Rattus norvegicus: one gene and its partner. The protein of the gene in region 1 purifies or fractionates together with the protein of each later gene. This does not show direct contact. Links are inferred from orthologs where the notes say so. Each region holds a gene or a part of one and is shown in the gene's direction. Other genes may lie near its edges. The genes, in order: Ubxn6 and Nploc4.

Region 1 (4,311 bases):
GAGGTAGAGACAGATAGGTAGATCTCTGTGAGTTCAAGGCCATCTTGGTCTCCATAGTCAAACTCTGACTCCATATATCTACAATCTCTCTTTCCCTTCCTTTTCCAGGCAGGTTTCTTTTTGTAGTCCTGGCTGTCCTGGAACTCAATCTATAGACCAGGTTCTGCCTGCCTCTACCTCCTGAGTGATGGGATTAAAGGAATGTGCCACCAATGCCTGGCTCAATTTTTTTCCCAAAGGACTAAAACATCATGTCCCAAAACATTTACTGAGCACTTCCTGACTGCCTTCCTTATGGTGCTCCACTCCTCTCACTGTAGCTCTTGGAAACCAGTCTTCCACAGTTCTCATCAAATGCCTCCCCTGCTCCCCTTCAGCTATGGGGCTTGGAAGTCACCAGGGCTTCTGTCCTTCAGCTTGGTGCATCTTGGGTCTAATGGTTGGAAAAAATAGTAAGATTACTAACAGCCTGGGTAGCCCCCAAAGCTGCTGCATCCCTGACAATTTCACACCAGCACAGATGAAAACTTGTCCATAGTCCAGCAAGACCAAAATGCAATGTGCAATTAGGGCAGAATTACATGCACAGAGGCAGGAGGTGATGGAGAGAGCTCCTGGAATCTCAGGTGAGCATCCGATGCCCCTTCCTAATGAATGACCATCAATAGTGAAGTATATGATTTGGGGGCGTCTCTTGCACAGACACAGTGGCCCTGATGTAGATGATGGCTGTTTTTCACATGAACAATAGTGCTCTACTATGCCCGTGTCCAAAGCATCCATCTTTTTGTTGAGTGTACACACCACATGAGATGGAAGTGTTGCAGGAGAATAAACTCAGCTTTGTGCATGCTGAGAAAGCTCTGTACCAACTGTGGTCCTGTGGGACTGTATTGTAGTCCAGGCCAACTTTGACCATGCCTGCACCAATCTCTGTCGGCTCCTTTCTGGCTTGTCCCTCCCAGAGCGGATTTCAGGCTCCTGCACAGCATATCCATATTAATTTTCTCTGTAGTACAGGCTAGCCTCGAAAGCCTGACATCAACCCAGGTTCCAGTAGCTCTGGAGACACTTCAGGGCTGTTCGGTGTCTGGATGCTCTCTTGCCCCCCCCCCCCCCCCGGCGGTTGCCGCGGTCCTGAGGGAGAGCCTGTCGTCCTGGCAACGGCGTCCGCAGACAGGAAGATGGCGCCCCGCCCGCGAGGTGCCGCAAGGCGATTGTCACGTGTGCCGGGCGGGACTTCCGTCGCCGAGATATTTTCTTTCCGGTGGTTGGCCGCCTGCTCCTCACCCACCCGGGCCCTGCGCCCTCCGCCCCGCGGCCCACGCCGCCGGGCCGCCGCCATGAAGAAGTTCTTCCAGGAGATCAAGGCTGACATCAAGTTCAAAAGCGCGGGGCCCGGCCAGAAGCTTACGGACTCCGCAGGGTGTGTGACGCTGGTTGGGCGACGGAAAAGGGCGAGGGCCAGGCAGGGCCTTCCGCTGGGTGTCAGGGATCTCTCCAAGCTATACAGAGCCGGAGCAGATGAGAGGGCGGGATGTGGAGATGGGCGGGGCCGAAGAGTGTAAATCAGGAGGGCGGAGCCTAAGAGGAGGGCGGGGCGTTGTAGCTGCGGTGGGCGTGGCAGAAAGGGAGGGCAGTGGGTGGCCTAGAGCGGGTGGGCGGGGCATTACGGATAGGCGGACCCGATGGGCGGTGGTGTCCAAGCCGCGTTGTTTAAGGCCATAAGACTCCTAGTCCTGGGTACAGCTACAAATAGTGGGACAACTTCCATGATGAGGAAAATGGAGGTTCAAAGGATCCTTAGGCCAGGAGCTGGTACTGGAAGGGATAATGTCTGGAGGTACAATGTCTATGATCTGTGCACCTCTGTAAAAGTAAATTTCACTTTTATTTCCTCAGATGAAGTGATGAGATGAGAGTTGTGTGATTACACTGCTTGGGCTGAGCCCAGAGCATTTCCTCCCATGTTCTAACAACTATCCCAGGAGGCTTCTAGCACAGTATAATTTACCAAGCTGACTAATTCAATCTGGCTTCTCTCAACTTCTCACTGAATTGCTCTGCTTGGGCTCAAACTAAGTCTGGCAATCTCTTCTAATCTTCTGGTTCCTTCTCATTCTCTAGCAGCAACCTACCTCCAAACTGTACTGACTGAACTGCTTCAACTCACTCTCTGTGCTGCCTCTTAAGTCCTCTCTTTCCTGTCCTCAGACTGACTCATTCTGTCAAATCTTTCTCTTGATTTGTCATTTTGTCTGCCCCTCAGGTAGATTCTACTTTTTTTTTTAAATGCATTTTCTTTAATCTTTTTTTTTCTTTTTTTTTTTCGGAGCTGGGGACCGAACCCAGGGCCTTGCGCTCGCTAGGCAAGCGCTCTACCGCTGAGCTAAATCCCCAACCCCTAGATTCTACTTTCAAACATGACTTCTTCCTTCTACAAACTAACCTTACCTACACTGTTAGGGATTAAAGATACATACTAAGGGCCTGTCTGTATTCTAGCCAGAGATCAAAGATTTGTAGCATGTCTGCATTCCTCCTACATATCATCAGATGTGATCCCTTGCCAGAGTGACCATGTTTCTTGATTAAAATTCCTCTATACACCTTTTTGCATATTTGGGTCTCCATGTCTGTCCAGGGAGAAGACCTCCAAAGGAAAGTCACCACAGCTGGCCCTCCGGCAGCCCCGTCAGGGCCCCACTGATGAGGCACAGATGGCTGCCGCTGCTGCCCTGGCCCGGCTGGAACAGAAGCAACCCCGAGCCCGGGGCCCTACATCTCAGGACTCCATTCGGAACCAGGGTGAGTTCTGCTCTAGGTGGAACCTGGGGTAGGCTGAAAAGGGTCCACAGAGGGTGGCTGTGGGTCCCATGTGGAAGGAGACACCATTGGTTCTTGCTTGGAGACCTGGAGAAGACAGAGACTAGACTTTACTTCCTGGAGCATTGGCAGGGAGGGTTGCTAGCTCTCGGACACACCTCACACACCCCACTCCTTGGAGGATGATGGGTATGGCTGAGCCTCTGGGTTATGGCTGGAGTCCTTACTCTGTTCATATTACACCTTCCTACACTCAGTGAGAAAGGAACTTCAGGCCGAAGCCACCTCCAGCAACAATCCAGGAGCTCCTGGGACCAACTCGGTAAGGATCTGCTGGGGACTGCCCAATGTTCTGGGCCAGTATGGAAGCAGCTGAAGCCTAGGAAGGGAGAGCTTTATACATATGAGCCATACCTGTGGTAGTGTGGATGAGAGCTATGGGCCTATATGTCCAGCTATAAGAGCCTCTTGTCTTCTATCTTCAGGTACCTGAGACCAAAGATGAAATCTCTCCCCATTTGGCAGTGCCTGGTGTGTTCTTCATCTGTCCGCTCACAGGTGTCACCCTGAGGAGGGACCAGCGGGATGCCCACATCAAGCAGGCCATCCTGTCAGTAAGTGGCCTATGCCCTAGCTACTGGACGCATTTCCATCAAGCCTGGTGTCTTATTCACTATTCTGCTATTACAATGAAGAGAAACCATGGTCAAGGCAGTTCTTACAAAAGAAAGTATTTAATTGGAGCTAGCTTAGTTTCAGGGGGTTAGTCTGTTGTGGCTACCTTGGCCTTAGCTTCACCCAGCACCTGGGAGTTGAACGACTGGCAGTCATGGGGACCTCAGCCAGGTGCTATGGTTCTGACATGGCTGCAGTTGCTGTCTCTCTTCCCATTCCTCAGCAGTTTTATGGGGTCCTCAGCATGCCTCTTCTCCCCCAGCACTTTTCCACAGACCCTGTGGCTGCCTCCATCATGAAGATACATACATTCAATAGAGACCGGGATCGAGTGAAGCTGGGTGTGGATACCATCGCCAAGTGAGTGAGCCTGTTTACCCAAGAGATCTGAGCACTGAGGCGGCTATGGTGTAGGCTCCGTGTGCTTTGTGCACCAGGCTCAGCCTGGCTATGTGAGGATCTGAGTGTAAAAACAGTGAAGTAAGGTCCCCTGGGTTACTCTCTCCCTTCTCCCTCCCAGGTACCTGGACAATATCCATTTGCATCCAGAGGAAGAAAAGTACCAGAAAATCAAACTGCAGAACAAGGTGTTCCAGGTAGCTGCAATGGCTGTCCTCGGGTCACTGGGCATGGGGTGGGTGTAATGCAGTGTTGCTTGGATTTTTGTGGTTTACTTTGGTTGTTGTTGAGACCAGGTCTCACTATGTAGTCCAACCTGACCCAGTACTGGGAGTCAGCTGAGTTGTGACCCAGCTTCCAAAGTGCTAAGACACAGGCACGGAACTCATTACCCATCTTTCTTTTCCTACT
Region 2 (3,812 bases), on another chromosome or scaffold:
TAGACTGTTATGAACTGCTACATAAGTTTGGAATTGAACCTTGGTCCTTTAGAAGAGCAGCCTTTGCTCTTAGCCACTAAGTCATTTCTTCAGGCTACCCCTCCCTAGTTCTTTTTTTTTTTTTTTTTTTTTTTTTAGATTTATTTATTTATTATTTATAAGTACACTATAGCTGTCTTCAGACACACCAGAAGAGGGCATTGGATCCAATTACAGATGGTTGTAAGCCACCATGTGGTTGCTGGGATTTGAACTCAGGACCTCTGGAAGAACAGTCAGGGCTCTTAACCACTGAGCCATCTCTCCAGCCCCCTAGTTCTTTTTTAGAGAAATTAAAGCCACGTGTTTATGACTCTGTCTGTACAGGGAGTAATGGAGAGAGCTGAGTCAGCCCTGAGGAGAATAACTTTTGTCTCATACTTTGTATCCTAGGCCAGTAAATTGTGGCCCTCTTATTTTGTCTTTGTCAATATGGAAGTAATGTAATTCCCAACTCACTTTGCTGCATTTTATAGCTAAGTACACAGTGTTCTTTTTTTTTTTTAACATATTATTTATTTATTTATTAGTACACTGTATCTGTCTTCAGACACACCAGAAGAGGGCATCAGCTCCCATTACAGAGCCACCATGTGGTTTCTGGGAATTGAATTCAGGACCTCTGGAAGAGCAGTCAGTGCTCTTAACCACTGAGCCCATAGTGTTATTCTTTTTTTTTTTTTTTTTTTTTCCTTTTCTTTTTTTTCGGAGATGGGGACCGAACCCAGGGCCTTGCACTTGCTAGGCAAGCGCTCTACCACTAAGCTAAATCCCCAACCCCCGCATAGTGTTATTCCTTGAAGCAGCTTTTGGTGAGGTATTTCAAATGTCAGAGACAATCTTACTGATACTCTTGCTACATTTCTTCCCATCTCAAACACAATGGCATTTCCAAAGAAACCTCACCATGTTTACCTGGGAAACCTTACCATGTCTGCCTGGGAAACTGTTTGTCATTAGAGTTTTATTTCGTGCTTCAGTGCTTTTTGAAAATTATCTGGAAGGCATTTTAATTGTGCATCATTCTCACTCATATATAAGAAGTAAAACTTTAGTGAAATTAAAGGGATAGGATCCAAACTGCATTCTGTTTACAGGGTTGAACCCTGCCGAGTTAGCGTCTCTGCAGGTCCTGTCCCAAAAGGTCCTCCTCTGCCAGTGTCCAGAGACACTGACTCCCAGCACCCAGGCTGCTCTCTCCATGTAACTGGCAGAACTCAGCATCCAACTTCTCCCTTTTCCATCACTCATTAATTGGCTTGTTTGGTGGGTATAGCAAGTTATGCCATTGGGAGTGACAAGTTCACACAAGCCTAGGTGGATTGTCGGTTTGCACACACACTGGGCCTATAAGACCATGTGATTTACAAGTATATCCATATTCAAGATGGTCTTATGTATCCATTTTTAATTTACTTTTTTTTTTATTGGACAGTGTGTTATGGATGTGGTTCTCTGCTATCAAATGCAGATTTACATCTACGGTATTACGTGTTCTTTTTCCTCTTCTGTTACATATTTCATTCTACTACATTTTTCATTCCATATTAAGAATTGCATTGCTGTGAAACATGTCTTCAGAACATTTTCATTATGTATGTCTGAAATCTGTTCTCCTTCAAACAACAGCTTCCCTGAAGCCCTGGTCACCACCATTCCGTTTTCTCTTCCCACTAAGTGTTGAGTTCCACTATTTCAGATGTCTCTTGTAAGTGGAGCTATACTGTGTGTGTAGGGTTAAAATCCCAATAAATGGTCTTTAAAACAGCCTCTTTCTACCTTATAAACTTGCTTGGAAAGCAGATCTTGAGCCCTGTAAATGTTGTTTGAGCAAGATGGCCTGTGCTAAGTAAGCGACCTTTTTTATATATGGCTTTATGCTCTGAAAATAATGTTGGCATGTGTCACTGGTGAGATGGTTTATGTTGAAAACAACTCACAGACCAGCACTTGGGAGGTGCAGGTAGTAGGATCAGGAGTTCAAGGCCAGCTTTAGCTGCATTCTGAGTTTGAAGCTAGCCAGAGCCATTCGAGATCTGTGCCACTGCCATCTCTACCCTAGCCAGAAAAGAAGATGACAGCAACTTATGGAATCTTAGTGATTGGTTCATTTGAGACTATTCATTTCAAGGTCTCATTGATGGGTTTTCAGAGCCCAGAACCTCCAGAGTCCCACATGGAGTACTTAATATCTGTTGAGTTAAATGATTAATAGGTCCCATAGCACACGTGATTTGATGATCTACCTCCCTTCCTGCTTATCTGTTTTTCCTTCCTTTCTCCCTTTCATTCCCCCCCCCCCCCCCCCCCAGGGCTGGGGACCGAACTCAGGACCTTGCGCTTCCTAGGTAAAGGCTCTACCACTGAGCCAAATCCCCAACCCCTCTCCCTTTCATTGTTTTGTGTCAGGTTGTCAGGGTCTCATGCATTTAGTCCAGTCTTGCTGGGTAGCTGAGACTAGCCTTGAACTCTATACTCCGTTTGCATCTTCCCAGCGCTGGAATCACAGGAGTGTGCCACTGTGCCCAGCTGACTTTTCGTTTTAAAAATCTTTTACACTTATTTATGTATTGGGGTGGATGGTTCATGCCGTGGTATACATGTGGCGGTCAGAGAACAACTTGCAAGAGTCAATTCTCTTGTCCTACTATGGGTCCAGTATCAGATTTTGGTCATAAGGCTTGGCAGCAGGCACTAGCGGTTGAGACTCTTACTTGCTGCAGCTGGCTTTTCCACTGGTAGCATCATTCTGCACTCCATTTTCTCTCTACTGGTAGGTTTATGATGGGAATTGGGTTTTCAGTATTGTTTCAAAAGTAGCAATTAACTTACACAGTGGCCTTGACTCTGGCTGGTTCCACCTTTTTTTATTATTTATACAGGATCTTTGGCTTCTTGTGGACCACTTACTGAATTGTCACTGGTGTGATCAATACAGTTTTTCCTGAGTGAAACGACAAGGGATGCATACTCTGATGAGCACTGTCTAACATTACTAATTGTTCTTCCTGTGGTCTTGGCACCTTCTGGCATTTGATACTTGGATGTTTCATTACATTTCTGTTGTTTGGGGCTTGTAGGTTGCAAAGGAGTTTGGCTTCCAAAACAACGGCTTCTCGGTTTACATCAATAGAAACAAGACTGGAGAGATAACAGCATCGTCCAGCAAATCCCTGCATTTGCTAAAAATCAAGTAAGTGTCCAGCTGGTGGGAGACAGGCAGGAGGAGGAGGTGGATGGAGTGCCCTGACTGACTGAGGCTGTCTGGACTTTCTTTTACCTCTGGATACTATTTCTGTGGCTCTGTTCACTGCTCACATACAGGGGATTGTGTCCCATGGCTGGTGTACAACAGTCATGCGAGGCCAGCAGTTACTACTGAGCAGGTTTGACTGTGGAATTCTGGTTATAGTCTTGGGTCCATATCTGCAGTAGGGCCAACGTCTTGTCTGGAGGAGGGGACATAGAGCACAGCTGTTTGGGAAAGAGATGCCATCATGACAGCCCTGCTTACTAAGAAGATAGGTGAGCTACGGTGGCCGTTCTCACTTGCATGCCAGTGGGACTTTGACAAAGGCCCCTCACTCCTGCCTGTGGTCATGGTGTCCTGGGTCATGCAGCTCTTTGTGAGTGCAGAGGAGTGTGGTCGCAACAAGGATGAAGCCTGCAGAGTTGAAAATGTTTGCTCTGTGGCTTTTTATAGAGCAGCTTGTTCACCCTTCTATAAACTGGGTACCTGCATTCAGCAGTCTTTTATTTTCCATGTATTTATC

Evidence for each region.
Region 2: the proteins of Ubxn6 (region 1) and Nploc4 purify together in Homo sapiens (affinity purification with western blotting; 3 studies listed by BioGRID and IntAct, with this or other methods). This does not show direct contact. The link is inferred for Rattus norvegicus from reciprocal best matches to the Homo sapiens genes UBXN6 and NPLOC4.

What each region holds. Positions count from the first base shown.
Region 1 is NC_086027.1:990,082-994,392, reverse strand, and holds the start of Ubxn6 (UBX domain-containing protein 6), read left to right. Parts: upstream 1-1,343; coding exon 1,344-1,426; intron 1,427-2,644; coding exon 2,645-2,808; intron 2,809-3,083; coding exon 3,084-3,148; intron 3,149-3,311; coding exon 3,312-3,440; intron 3,441-3,724; coding exon of another isoform or gene 3,725-3,763; coding exon 3,764-3,861; intron 3,862-4,021; coding exon 4,022-4,097; intron 4,098-4,311. UniProt on the Homo sapiens protein: May negatively regulate the ATPase activity of VCP, an ATP-driven segregase that associates with different cofactors to control a wide variety of cellular processes.
Region 2 is NC_086028.1:106,198,170-106,201,981, reverse strand, and holds part of Nploc4 (nuclear protein localization protein 4 homolog), read left to right. Parts: intron 1-3,119; coding exon 3,120-3,232; intron 3,233-3,812. UniProt on the Homo sapiens protein: The ternary complex containing UFD1, VCP and NPLOC4 binds ubiquitinated proteins and is necessary for the export of misfolded proteins from the ER to the cytoplasm, where they are degraded by the proteasome.